Caenorhabditis elegans: one gene and its partner. The protein of the gene in region 1 interacts with the protein of each later gene in a pairwise test. Each region holds a gene or a part of one and is shown in the gene's direction. Other genes may lie near its edges.

Region 1 (6,729 bases):
TTTCTTATCTACTTGGTTTTATACAATGATTTTAAATAAATGTAAGTTTTCACCTCTTCTGCTTCCGTAGTCGTTGGCGAATAAAATGCCGGTACACTTTCTTTGAAAATTCCTGCTTTGTGCCATGCAATTTCGGATAACTTATTTCCAAGAATGGACATGTGATCATAATCAAGTGTAGTCACTCCGCAGACTTTTGGCTTCTCAACAACATTTGTGCAATCGTATTCTCCGCCGATTCCAACTTCGAGAATCATAACTTGAACGTTTAGCTTGACGAAAATTCGGAAAGCAAGAAGAGTCAAGAATTTAAAGTAGGCGGGCATATTGTCGCTGTGCTCTCTTTTGATGATGTCGTACACTGAAAATATTAATTATATTAATTTTAAAAAAATTAAAATAGTGATGTTACCATGGAAAAATTCTTCGGCAAACATCTGCTCACTAACCGGCTGTCCATCAACTTGAATTCTCTCTCTAACATGAACCAGATGGGGTGACGAATAGAATCCAGTTCGGAGCCCTTGACTTCTTAAAATTGATTCAACGAAAGCACAAGCGCTTCCTTTTCCCTTCGTACCGCTCACATGGATGATATTCAAAGCGTTAAGATCTTCTGCGGATATGTTCAGAGATTCCAGATACTTTCGGCATTGCGGAAGATTAATCGCTTGCAAGTTCTCCCTTTGAACACGTAACTTTTTGATAGTCGCCGCGTTTGACTGAAGGCCATTCAAAAGACGAACAGATTCTTCATAGCATGGTACAGCTTTTTCAGATGACATTCTAAGTTGGTTAGCACCGCAAGCTGTGGAGGATGTTGTTGGTAGAAGAATCCTGTTAGTTTGAGGTAAAAGTCGCATCATTTTTAGGTTTTTTTTCGGGGAGATTAATTGGATTATTGAGGTACTTTGATTAGTTAATTTTCATGCTAGTTTGGAACTAGTAGCAGCTGATTTCAGCCGTAGAAAAAAGAAAAACTCATTAAAAAATTATTAGTTGATAACATTTCAAGACTGCATTTTGACGTGACGGTGTATGCACACTTGCGCGTGAAAGCAACTCAAAGAGCGACCACTTCGATTTTTCACTTTTTTCTTTTTTTTTCCAATTTCATAAGTTTTTCATAAAACCTGTTGGATTTTAGAGTTACTCGATAATTTTTCGAATCCAATAAGCGTAAAACCAGTCAAAAACTCAACATAATAAGTAAAACTAACCAAGTCGAGCGAGAATGAAAACCACGAGTAGGGGCAAAAATGGAACTAATGATACGCATTGAGGGGCAAAGATGCATGTGATAATATGATAATATAACGTAGATTGATCATAGAACATGGTTTAGTGTTTGCGCGGAAGGACATTCTCTCCGTTGTTTGTTCTAGTGAACGTTCAACGCTAAACTGAATCCTCAGCTAGAGGGGCTGGCCATCAATCTGTTTCTCTAAGTTCGATCCCTCTAGACGTCATATGCCTTCCAAAGTTCTTTTTTCCTCTTTTCGTTCAGTTGTTTTTCCATTTTTCTTCTTAATCCTCCTGCCTTTTCCTTTTTATTTCAAATTGATTTTATCTAGAATTTTCAGATCTTCAGTCGATGTCAAATAAAGTTGCAAGAAGGTTAGGAAAATGCCTTTTCGTTAGCGGAAGACGATTCGAAAGTCGACAATCAATCTTACAATTGCGAAGTAAGTGAAAGTGAGAACTTTGTAAAGATCATAATACAATTTTATCCTGTAAAAATTCAAAATCTCGTGAAATTTCAAATTATTTCCAAGAAATTCAGTTAATTTTCAAGGAGAGCTCCTACTCATTATCACCAACTGATTAGCCTGTCAGTCTGGAAAATCATTAAAAGTTATAGCCATTTTTAATTTTCCAGAAAAGATAAGAAAATCGTCGGTATACTATAAATAAAACGGCTTGATCTCTGTCTTTCTCGCGGCATGTATTCTTTTTTAAATCACATGTTTTCTCTTCAGAATTTTCAAACAATCTTTTATTTTGATTTTTTGGATGCAATAGAAAATTCGAAAATTGAATTTTTCATAAGTTTTAGCCAAAAGCTCTTCCGCTTTTCCTGTAAAAAACCAGAAAATACCAAATTCCCGCTCCGTGCTCCTTGGCTTTCGCCAAATTTCGAAAATAGTGACGATTTCCGATTTTCAAATAGGATTTTCGAAAATTCTCGATTCTCATCTTTTTTTCTCTTTCGGATTTCTTTTTTGATTGAAAAATAATAATTACATTTTCCCTATTTTCAGTAATAGCATTCAAATTAAATTAAAAAAAAAATACTACAGTACTCTAGGCCCTAAAGGCGCAGACACCCATTTCCAAAAAATTGATCTTGGCAGGAGTTTTTCGAATTGTTTGTTATTTTTCGTATCCAAAATTTTCACATCAAAAACGTAACAGCTGAATTATTGAAAATATTTTTTCTGAAACCCGGAAGTTTTGTGAAAATCCAATTTCCTAAAAAATTCCAAAACACCACATTTTCATCACTCTTCAACACGAGCCTTTTTCTCTTATTTTCAACCTCGCGAACTCGATACATATATCTTTGATCTCAGCTGCTCCTAGGGAGCTAAAACCCAAAACTATTTTTCTTTTTCCTCTTCCTTTCCTCTCTCTTTTTTCCTTCTCGTTTCAACTCAACAAGTATCTTCCGCTGATCCATATTTTTCTCTGCGACTCTACCATCTCGTATACTATTTCATTGCTCAAGTCGTCTTCGCTTTGACACATTGCTGTGCGCCTACTGCGACGGCGGCTCTCTTTTTTCGTTTTTCGCATTTCCTCCAAAAAAAAAAATCTTCGTTTTTCGCGTCTCCCCGCCGTCTGCCTCCTTGTTATTTATCAATCTTCACGTCAAAACATGTCTGAAAGTTCAGTGATCCAAGGTGAGTAGGAGGATTTCAGTAGGAAAAAAGTTCGAATTAAAAATTGGGTTACGGTTAAACGAATCCAATTCCAGGCGTGCTCCGCGAGTCTTGTTGGCTTCAAACTGTGGTGTCTGTCTGTGAACACACGTATGTTCTATTTAAAATTTGTTGCGTAGGAAATTTGTTTAATACCAATTTTAAAAAATTACTTTAAAAATTGCGTGAAAATATGTTCATTTCAAAATTCTACTCGTATCATGGGACATTGTTTTTCCGTTTTCTCCTCAAAGGAGACTATTAATTGTAGTGAGTTTTTTCACGAATTGAGAAATAATTTCAACATTTATGAATAGTAGAAAATTGGGGAATGTAAAAAATATTCTAAACTTTTTAATATTATACCAGAAAAATGAGAAGCTCTGCCACATTTAGCAAATGCCCTAGAAGATTCTAAATCCAAAATACGTCACTGCAATCCGTTGGCTATAAATAATCTCTTCTGGGTCATCTATGTAAATTGACTGAAAATTTGGTATCAGATTCAATTTTTTGAACTCTACTAGTTTAGTTCTCAATTTAAACGATAATAAACTGTAAAACCTAATCAAACTTTTTGACAGTCGTAAACCATTTCAAATTTAGTATTCTGCTCCCTCTCTCTCTCGCTTCTAAAGGGTCTCTTTGTCTATACAGTAACTCTATCTATCAGTTAGACAGTGACAGAACAAAGAGCCATGTCGATAAGGTGCCCTGTGGGAGTTTTCAACGACGAAAAAGTACAGTGGCTCTTTCTCTCTTATCTTGACTACCACTACTGCTACCACTACTTCTGATTTATAATCGAAGTCCAAGTTGGGCGGGATGAAAATGTGAATATAAAAGGTGCATCGGCTGAATTAAAGTTACCACTTTGAGAATTCTTTGCCAAAAAGCTTAACACTCTTCTCTCTGCGCATCTCGTTGAAGGCACCGAAGTTCCAGTTTTCTGTTAACCCCTGTCTTCTCCCCTCTAGCCCTCTCATACAGTGTCACATTTTTTTGTCGGTGACAGCAGTCATATCGTCAGAGATGCCGAAACTAACTGTACTAATAAATCTTTACTTTTTTGTTGGAAATTGTGAGATTCTCGCAGCATAGAAGAAGACAGAGAGACAGAGAGAGAGAGAGGAACGTCTAAAAGGGGCGGAGCGTTCGTTGGGTTAACTATAAAATCGTCGAGATTGCTGGGGAGAACTCTTTTCCCGTCCCAATATTTACTTTTGACTTTTAGACACTTTGATCTTCGACCTAACTTCTAAATATTTAGCTTTCTTTCTTTTTTTCAAGTTAAAAAGCACGTTTCTAGGCTCATTTTAAGGTATATTTGATTAATTTTTTTAAAAATTATACATCCCAAAAATCGTAGGTAACGAATCGTCGCGATCTTCATATATTCTAAATCTAGATACAGTAACCCATTTTTAATACATTTTTGGAACTTATCCAATTTTGAAAGTTCAAGTTGTCTCCGTCTGTATGCGCAGACACCATACTTCAATTGACCTCTAAAATTTTGTCACGTGGCGACTTGTTCACATTCCCCTCATGTCTCCACCATGTCTCGAGTTTTTTCATGTCCTTTTCAGTTCAAGTGTTTCATGTCCACTTGAGCGTGAAAAAAGAATTAATTGAGATCTCTCATTTGACCAGTATAAGAGTAGTTAGTAACTTGTGAAATTTAGATTTATTTCGATATTCTAGATACTAGTAGTAAGAACTATGAATTCTGCTAACTCGTGTAAGTTGTTAAAAACTTGCCCTTTTTTATCTGATATTTGTATTTTTTCGTTAATGATTTTCCAATTTTCAGCCGAAACCCTCACTGACACACCACTCTCTGCCACACTCGACCAATCACAATTTTCAATGTTCAAAGCCGCCGAAATTGTGAATGCAGCAGCTGCCTGCGCTGAAGCAGAATGCATCGAACAGCTGAAAAAGACTGATGTCGTGCCATTACTGATGAACTACCTACTTGGAGAAGAACAGATTCTGGTTGCTGATCCAACTGCAGTTGCGGCGAAACTTCGGAAAATGGTTGTTGGAGGCGCCGGGAAAACTGTAGTTATCAGTGATTTTGACTATACACTGTCTCGATTCGCCAATGAGCAAGGAGAACGTCTTTCGACCACCCATGGAGTTTTTGATGATAATGTAATGCGGTTAAAGCCAGAATTGGGACAAAAGTTTGTTGATCTGAAAAACAAGTATTATCCGATTGAGTTCTCGCCGAATCTGACGATGGAGGAAAAGATTCCACATATGGAGAAATGGTGGGGAACAAGTCATTCATTGATTGTCAACGAAAAGTTCTCAAAGAACACAATTGAAGACTTTGTTCGTCAATCGAGAATTGTTTTCAAAGATGGAGCTGAAGATTTTATTGAAGCTCTCGATGCACACAACATTCCACTTGTCATCTTCAGTGCAGGAATCGGAAACATCATTGAGTATTTCCTTCAGCAGAAGCTCGGCGCAATTCCACGCAACACACATTTCATCTCCAACATGATTCTGTTCGATGAGGATGACAACGCTTGTGCATTCTCCGAGCCGTTGATCCACACTTTCTGCAAGAATTCATCAGTTATTCAGAAGGAAACATCGTTTTTCCATGATATTGCTGGAAGGTGAGAACAATCTAAATAACTGCATTGATACGAATTTTAAATTTTCAGAGTAAACGTAATTCTGCTCGGTGACTCGATGGGTGATATTCACATGGACGTTGGAGTTGAAAGAGACGGGCCCACGTTGAAAGTTGGATATTACAATGGATCGGTAAGGATTTTAACTTTAAATTGTTGAAAGTTATCTTTTTTTCAAAATTATTTAGACTGTCAATTTTTCCATAATTTTCTTCTCAATTTTCAGCTTGACGACACCGCCGCTCTCCAGCACTATGAGGAAGTCTACGACATTGTCCTGATTCATGATCCGACGTTGAATGTGGCTCAAAAGATTGTTGACATCATCAACTCATCACATTGATTCTTCACTTCCTTATTCTCTTCAAATTTTCATGTTTTATCTGTCGTGTCTCGCTGGCGAGATGGATACTGACCACTTTTATTCGCATTGTTCTTACCCAAATTCTATTTGCAATTATTCTTGAATGCTCGTTTTTTGAGCACCCACACCCGCCTCCTTTCACCGGTCATTGCTTTGTTCTGCTTTTCCCAGTCTACAAATTACCATGCTCCCGATTCAAAAGTCTGATACTAATCCCAGTTTGGCCTTTAAAAGGTCGTCTTCTACTCGCTAGTATACATGTATAGATGAAAAATAAAAAGCTGAAATATTAAGCAATGTATTCTGGTTAAATTATAAAGTCAAACGAATGAGATCCAAAGTGGAAACAAGGAGCCACTTCTAGATGAATAATTGAATGAATAGAAGATGCAGAGCGTTGTAGACAGGAAAATAAAATAAAAACCAAATCAAGAAAGTATATAAAACAGATATGATGCTCAACATCTCTATCGTCGTTGCTTCTTCTCCGGTGGGTAACCTCCGTCGCCATATGATCCGAACATGCCTCCTGGTCCTTGCTGTGGTGGATAATCACGGCCGGCTGAAATCGAGGAAACATTAATCTCGAACCAGATCCAATAAAACGAAGAATTTTAAAACTTACGCATTCCTCCTGGTGGTCCATTATCACTTTTGAAGATCTGCAATAATCGTTGGACTCCTTCGATCATGTTACTCCGTCCGTGAGATTTTGGAAGCATTCCTCCAGGACCTCCAGGTCCTCCCGGACCCCCTGGCCCTCCTTGTCCTGGTGGTGGTCCTCCCATTCCTC
Region 2 (5,836 bases), 2.8 Mb from region 1:
GTCCTTGGCACTGAAATGATATAGTTATTGATTTGAGGTTATTCTACGATTGAAATATCGGATATATGTAGTTTTTATTGATTTTTAACGAGTTTAAAGTATGTGTAGTCTATTGCTAGATTATTTCATTTCTATTCATAAAAAAGAAATCTTAAGATCAAATTGAAAGATTCAAAAGACACAAAACACATGAACCCTCAACGCGAATTCCAAATTTTCCAACGCCTGCTTGTTATGCTTTATCAGCTTCTTCATCAAGTTGTCGATCGCCTTTTTTGCCCAATTCTCATCCTCGTCTCCTGTAAAATACTTATTTCCGTCAGAAATCCGATTTCAGTTTCGATTCTAGATTTCCGCCGTTGATTGTAATATTTCCCCACCCTATTGGTCTTTTGGACAAAAATGAGACTTACCTTGTTTCCATTTCAGTCTCTCCGTGATCTTTTTTATTCCGTCGAAGTTTATCTGAAAGGTTCGTGGTTTTTTGTTGTGAAATAAAAAATGGTTATACAATTTTATCTATTTTCGAAAAATAAGAATTCTTGGGAATTGGGTTCTGATACGAATGAAATTTTTCAGCTACCGTACTCTCTATTACTATTTGTCTCTCTTGTCTCGATTTTTTCAAGAATTTTATTGTAGAAATCACATATTTTGGAAAAATGTTTAAACTACGTCAAATATTAAAATATGTAAAACGGAAGGTTCAAACTTTGAAAGCTGAGAATTTCAAAGTCTATGGTGTTCACGGGGTACTGTAGCTGAAAAATTACACACGTTCCAGGACTCAAGGCCCTGGTTTTGAGGAAGTAATAATAATTTTTACAAACTGGTAGTGGTTAGACAATATCGAGAAGATATTTCAGTTTCTTATTTCACAACAATATTTTGGGAAATTTTTAAACAAATTCTTTATAGGAAAACATAAAAAATGTAGCTACATTTTTTGAAATTTTTAAAAATGATTTTCGTATTTTTTTCAAAATTTTAAAGACTCATTGAGTTCAACAATTTGAATTCTATTTTTTTTTTTCTTTAAAAAATTTGAATTACAAAATTTCGAATTTTTTTTGAATGTTTATTCTTAAATACAAATAAAAACTTACCATGATTCTAATCTTCTTGAAATATTGTAAAAACTAATAGATCACAAGAAGATTCTATAAATAAGAAACATTGAAAATAGCCTGTAAATGCGCACTCCTTTACCTTTTTTTCTTTCTACCTCTGTAGCCTCTCTAAAGTGCCTGGTATCTCATAAATTGTTCTCAGCTTCACCAGCCCATCATCAACCGTCTAACTGTCTACTCATTGTTTTCAACTCTCCGTCTCTCCAAATTGTGCAATCATCTTCACAGATGTGTTTCCACCCGGCGACAGTCAACTTGTGTCCCTGCGCCCCCGTTATCGTCATTAGTAGCCAACTAGACATCATAGTATAGTAGAGAGACTCAGAATATATAAAATGAGACAGTGTTTGAAATAGGAAGACTTAGAGACGCAGAAGGGCGACAGTCTGGAGCCAAGCAGGGAATTAATGGAATTCATTTATTCATGTTTGAAAGGAAAACGGTATTGGGGAATATTCATCACTTTTGTTTGAGAAGGGACCAGGTGTCATCGGATAAAATAGTCTATGGTTGTTGTGAAGGTAGGCTTTGCAAAAACCGGTCTCACTAGATCAAGGAACACCAGAAAACACACTTTTTTGAAATTGTGTTGCTTTTGTGCTTAAATTAAGAGAAAAATTCTTGCAGCAGAAAATATTTCACGCCCTAAAATTTTGATTTTCATGGTTTACAAATTACCGAATTTTATCAGAAAGCATAATTTTCTGAAAAGAAAAGATTCCGAGAATCTCAAAAGATATAGAAATTTCTAGTCTGCTCTATGCACTCATTCAATATTTACATTTTCTATATAATTTCAATTTTAACGAATTTTCATAAGTAGATTCTTTGACAGAAGGTCAAGTAGTGTCTTGTCCTTGAAATTTCCTTCTTTGTTAATTCATGTTGCTAAGGAACATAAGCGTTGCTTGGAAGCATCGGAAAATGTTATATTTTTTTGTTCTCAATGCATTTTCAAATATTTCATTTCTAGAGAATATCTATCTATTTTTCAGTCTTTTAAAAAGTATCAAAAAATGATTTCATGGGTTTTATCATCGCGTTTGTGAATAATGATACTTCCTCTCAATTTTATGCATGAACGTGGCGTTTTTACAATAAAAAAGAGAAGAATGATCTAGACAAACATACACCCTTTTTATCAGACATCATACCCCAATAGCACATTTTCTTATCTTTTTTTTTCTGAAAGCATTTTTCAATATTTACTGATTATTTTTTATGAAATATACAACTTTCAGGAATGAAATTCCAAAATGTACATATATCACATCAAGATGAGGACAAGGAGAAGCTACTGCCAAACGATAAGGATGTGGAGAAAGCGGATGGTAGGAAGTTTCTAATATTATACAGTTTTCAAAAAGTTTTGGTATTTCTTCAAAAAAAAAACTTTCCGTAAAAATTGAAAAAAAAAATCGAAAAACAAATTATCGGAAAATTTACTCTCGACATTTTTTAAGTTTTCGTATGTTATTTTAAAAATTTATATAATTCCTTCTCAAAACTCTGTATCAAAATGCCAAGTATTTCAGAATCCCCGTCATCATCTCGTCCAAGTTTTGTCTTCAAATGCTATGTTATTGCCAGTATGACATTCATTTGGACAGCTTACACATTAACAATCAAATACACAAGGAGTACTGTAAATCCAGATATGGTAATATATTTTGAAATATAGTTTTGGAAGACTTTGATTATTGAATTTTCAGAAATTTTTTTTTTTCAAAATTCAAAATTCAAAAAGTTTGACAATAAAATACAATTGATAATTCATAGCGAAATATAAAAAATCATGTTTAACTTTTCTGAAAAAAATCCAAAGTGTGAAAACGGTTTTAAGAAAAATTTTTTTTTTTTTGATCCCAAAGCACCAAAAAAACACACAGAATTGATACAAATATTTCAATTTTTCGAAAGTATGCATTTTTATTTCAGATGTATTCTTCAACATCAGTAGTCTTATGTGCCGAAATTTTGAAATTAGTGATCACATTTGCAATGTTCTACAAAGAATGTAACTTTGATAGCAGACAATTTTCCGAGGTAGATCTACCGTATTCTTTGAAATCTTAAAATTATAATTTACAGCAAGTCAGTAAATATTACATAAATGCTCCACGAGAACTTGCCAAAATGAGTGTCCCATCGTTTGCGTATGCTCTTCAGAATAATTTGGATTTTGTGGGATTGTCGAATTTGGATGCGGGACTTTATCAGGTAAATTGTCATAGAAATATTAAAAAATATATAATCAAAAAACCTTTTTTCCTATGAAAATAACAAAAAGAATCAATTTTTCATTAAAACCAAACAAAAAAAATTTTCAAAAAATAACCAAAAAATTAAAAGTTTTTCCAGGAAAAAAATCGAGTTTTTCAAAATAATATGTTTTTTCTTTTTCAAAAAAATCCATTAAAAACCATTAAAAAATCAATTTTTCCCAAAAAAAAAACCCAACTCTTTTTTTCAGAAAAAAACGATGCAGAAATGTTTTGTTTTAATTTTTCACAAAAAACCCTTTAAAAGCCAAAAAAAAAATTCTTTTTTTTTTCTCCAAAACAAAACAAAAATTATTATTTTCAAAAATCCAAAAAAACCCTACTTTTTCAAGAAAAAAATTGCAGGTCACAACTCAATTGAAAGTCGTCTCTACAGCTTTTTTCATGATGCTCTTTCTCGGTCGAAAGTTCTCAACTCGTCGATGGATGGCAATTACACTTCTAATGTTTGGAGTAGCATTTGTTCAAATGAACAATGTTTCTGCATCAGAAGCCAATACAAAACGAGAAACTGCTGAAAATTATATTGTCGGATTATCAGCTGTACTGGCAACGTGTGTAACTGCTGGATTTGCTGGAGTCTATTTTGAGAAGATGTTGAAAGATGGTGGAAGTACACCATTTTGGATTCGTAATATGCAAATGTACAGTTGTGGAGTGGTAAGTTACTGAAATTTCAAAATTTCCTAGTTTATTTACTTACCATCCAATTGAATAAATCAAACTTCTGAAAGTTAAAAAAAAATCAGAAACTATTTAGGGTTTTTTTTTCAAATCGTTTGAAAAATAGAGATTCGAAATAATTGAATATTACTAAAAACCAATTTAGACTTATTAATAAAATCTAAGCTCAATTAATCTCAGAAAGTCGAATTTCGAAAATTTCCAATTTTTTCCAGATCAGTGCTTCAATCGCTTGTCTCACGGATTTTTCGCGGATCTCCGATAAGGGATTTTTCTTCGGTTACACGGACAAAGTATGGGCAGTTGTGATTCTTCTTGGCGTTGGAGGCCTCTACATTTCTCTTGTGATGCGATATCTTGATAATCTGTACAAATCAATGGCTTCAGCAGTCTCTATCATTCTAGTTGTTGTTCTTTCGATGCTCATATTTCCAGATATTTTCATTGGAATGTATTTTGTACTTGGAACCATTTGTGTTGTTCTTGCTGTTCTTTTGTATAACTCTGTTAACGAGTAGGATTCACAATTTGCTTCTTTTTTTCAGTTTTAGAAAAACCATCATTTTTTGATTACACATTCTTCCGGGTTACTTGATTTTTCTGTGTATTAGCCAAAAGCTTTAATTGTATAAACTTAATGCTTGGATTTCTTTGTATTTTTGGGGTTTTATTCTATTGCATTTTTTGTGTTTTTTTGGATCGTGGTTTTATGTTATAAACTTCCTCGATTCTCGATGGCAAATAAAAAGCATTCATATTTTTTCCTAATTTGTTCCAATCCACAGAATTCCTGACCAATTGTGCGAACGCTCTGGAGCAGAAGCAAGGGCTCCTCCTCTTTCCTTCTTCCTGCTCTAAAACTATAAGCCATTAGTGCTCAGGTGGCTCATAAATTCTCGCCAAATAACAGAATTCCAATGGCTCCCTGGAGATATCTCGCAATTTGCTCAGTCAGTAGTTTGGCAAGTGTGTGTTTGACAGGAAGGATGCATGTGGTCGATGTTTAATTAGATGGGAATTCAGAAAAAGAGACGACAGAAACGGATTGGCGGCGAATGGAACTGAAAAGATAGAAAGATGAACGAAACTTTCTCTTTTCTTTTTCAAGCCATCCCAATGTCCGAGCATTTTTTTATATATTTTATGATCAATTTCGACCATCCATTGATTATCCGAATTTTCTAAAACTCTTTCTTGAGTGTGCACGGATTTATATGAATGGGTCTCACCGCGAGTTTATGGTAGCGTTTTTTTCTCTTAAATAACATATCAAGTTCTGAAAAACAGAGACTTCGAATTACAGCCAATTGCAATTTTTATGGTACATGTCTTTTGGAGAAATTGTCTGAAGTACCTACCTTTCTAAAAATTATTATTCTTTTCTCAGAAATGATGCCCGGATTCTTTTAGTTAACTGTATTTCAATCGTTTTTTTATTGAGAGTTGGAAATTTTTCGAGAATATTTATTTGGTCTTTAGGTTTTTTTAAATACTATTTTCGAATGTTCAAACCTTTCTGCCAAGCTGGATTATTTTAAATAAATTTCTCAAACACTCAAGCCCTTCACAACTTAATTTTATAGATTTTCCCAGAAGACACAAAATTTTACAAAACTTTCCCATCATTTCAAAAAACTCAAAAAACACTAGAAACCCATTGTCAATAGTTATACACCCTCATAATGTGTTCGTTTTTTTTTTCTTTGAGAATCCTTCTTCTCATCTATCTTCGTTACCTAA

The links. Proteins that work in one complex are often made in the same cells at the same time.
Region 2: the proteins of F25B5.3 (region 1) and ugtp-1 interact in a two-hybrid assay, tested with the Caenorhabditis elegans proteins (one large-scale study listed by BioGRID).

The regions. Positions count from the first base shown.
Region 1 is NC_003281.10:5,947,307-5,954,035, forward strand, and holds F25B5.3 (Putative cytosolic 5'-nucleotidase 3), read left to right. Parts: upstream 1-1,576; 5' UTR 1,577-1,594; coding exon 1,595-1,685; intron 1,686-2,977; coding exon of another isoform or gene 2,978-3,032; intron 3,033-3,133; exon of another isoform or gene 3,134-3,142; coding exon of another isoform or gene 3,143-3,191; intron 3,192-4,558; exon of another isoform or gene 4,559-4,643; coding exon of another isoform or gene 4,644-4,662; intron 4,663-4,734; coding exon 4,735-5,554; intron 5,555-5,602; coding exon 5,603-5,705; intron 5,706-5,798; coding exon 5,799-5,915; 3' UTR 5,916-6,229; downstream 6,230-6,729. Other genes in the region: F25B5.6 (Putative folylpolyglutamate synthase), read right to left, coding at 54-361, 413-837, 1,221-1,279; nono-1 (RRM domain-containing protein), read right to left, coding at 6,404-6,498, 6,562-6,729.
Region 2 is NC_003281.10:8,745,237-8,751,072, reverse strand, and holds ugtp-1 (UDP-galactose translocator 1), read left to right. Parts: upstream 1-2,371; 5' UTR 2,372-2,373; coding exon 2,374-2,461; intron 2,462-2,665; coding exon 2,666-2,790; intron 2,791-3,068; coding exon 3,069-3,176; intron 3,177-3,221; coding exon 3,222-3,350; intron 3,351-3,757; coding exon 3,758-4,072; intron 4,073-4,311; coding exon 4,312-4,614; 3' UTR 4,615-4,857; downstream 4,858-5,836. Other genes in the region: Dwarfin sma-2, read right to left, coding at 1-10, 196-299, 414-465, 1,107-1,109.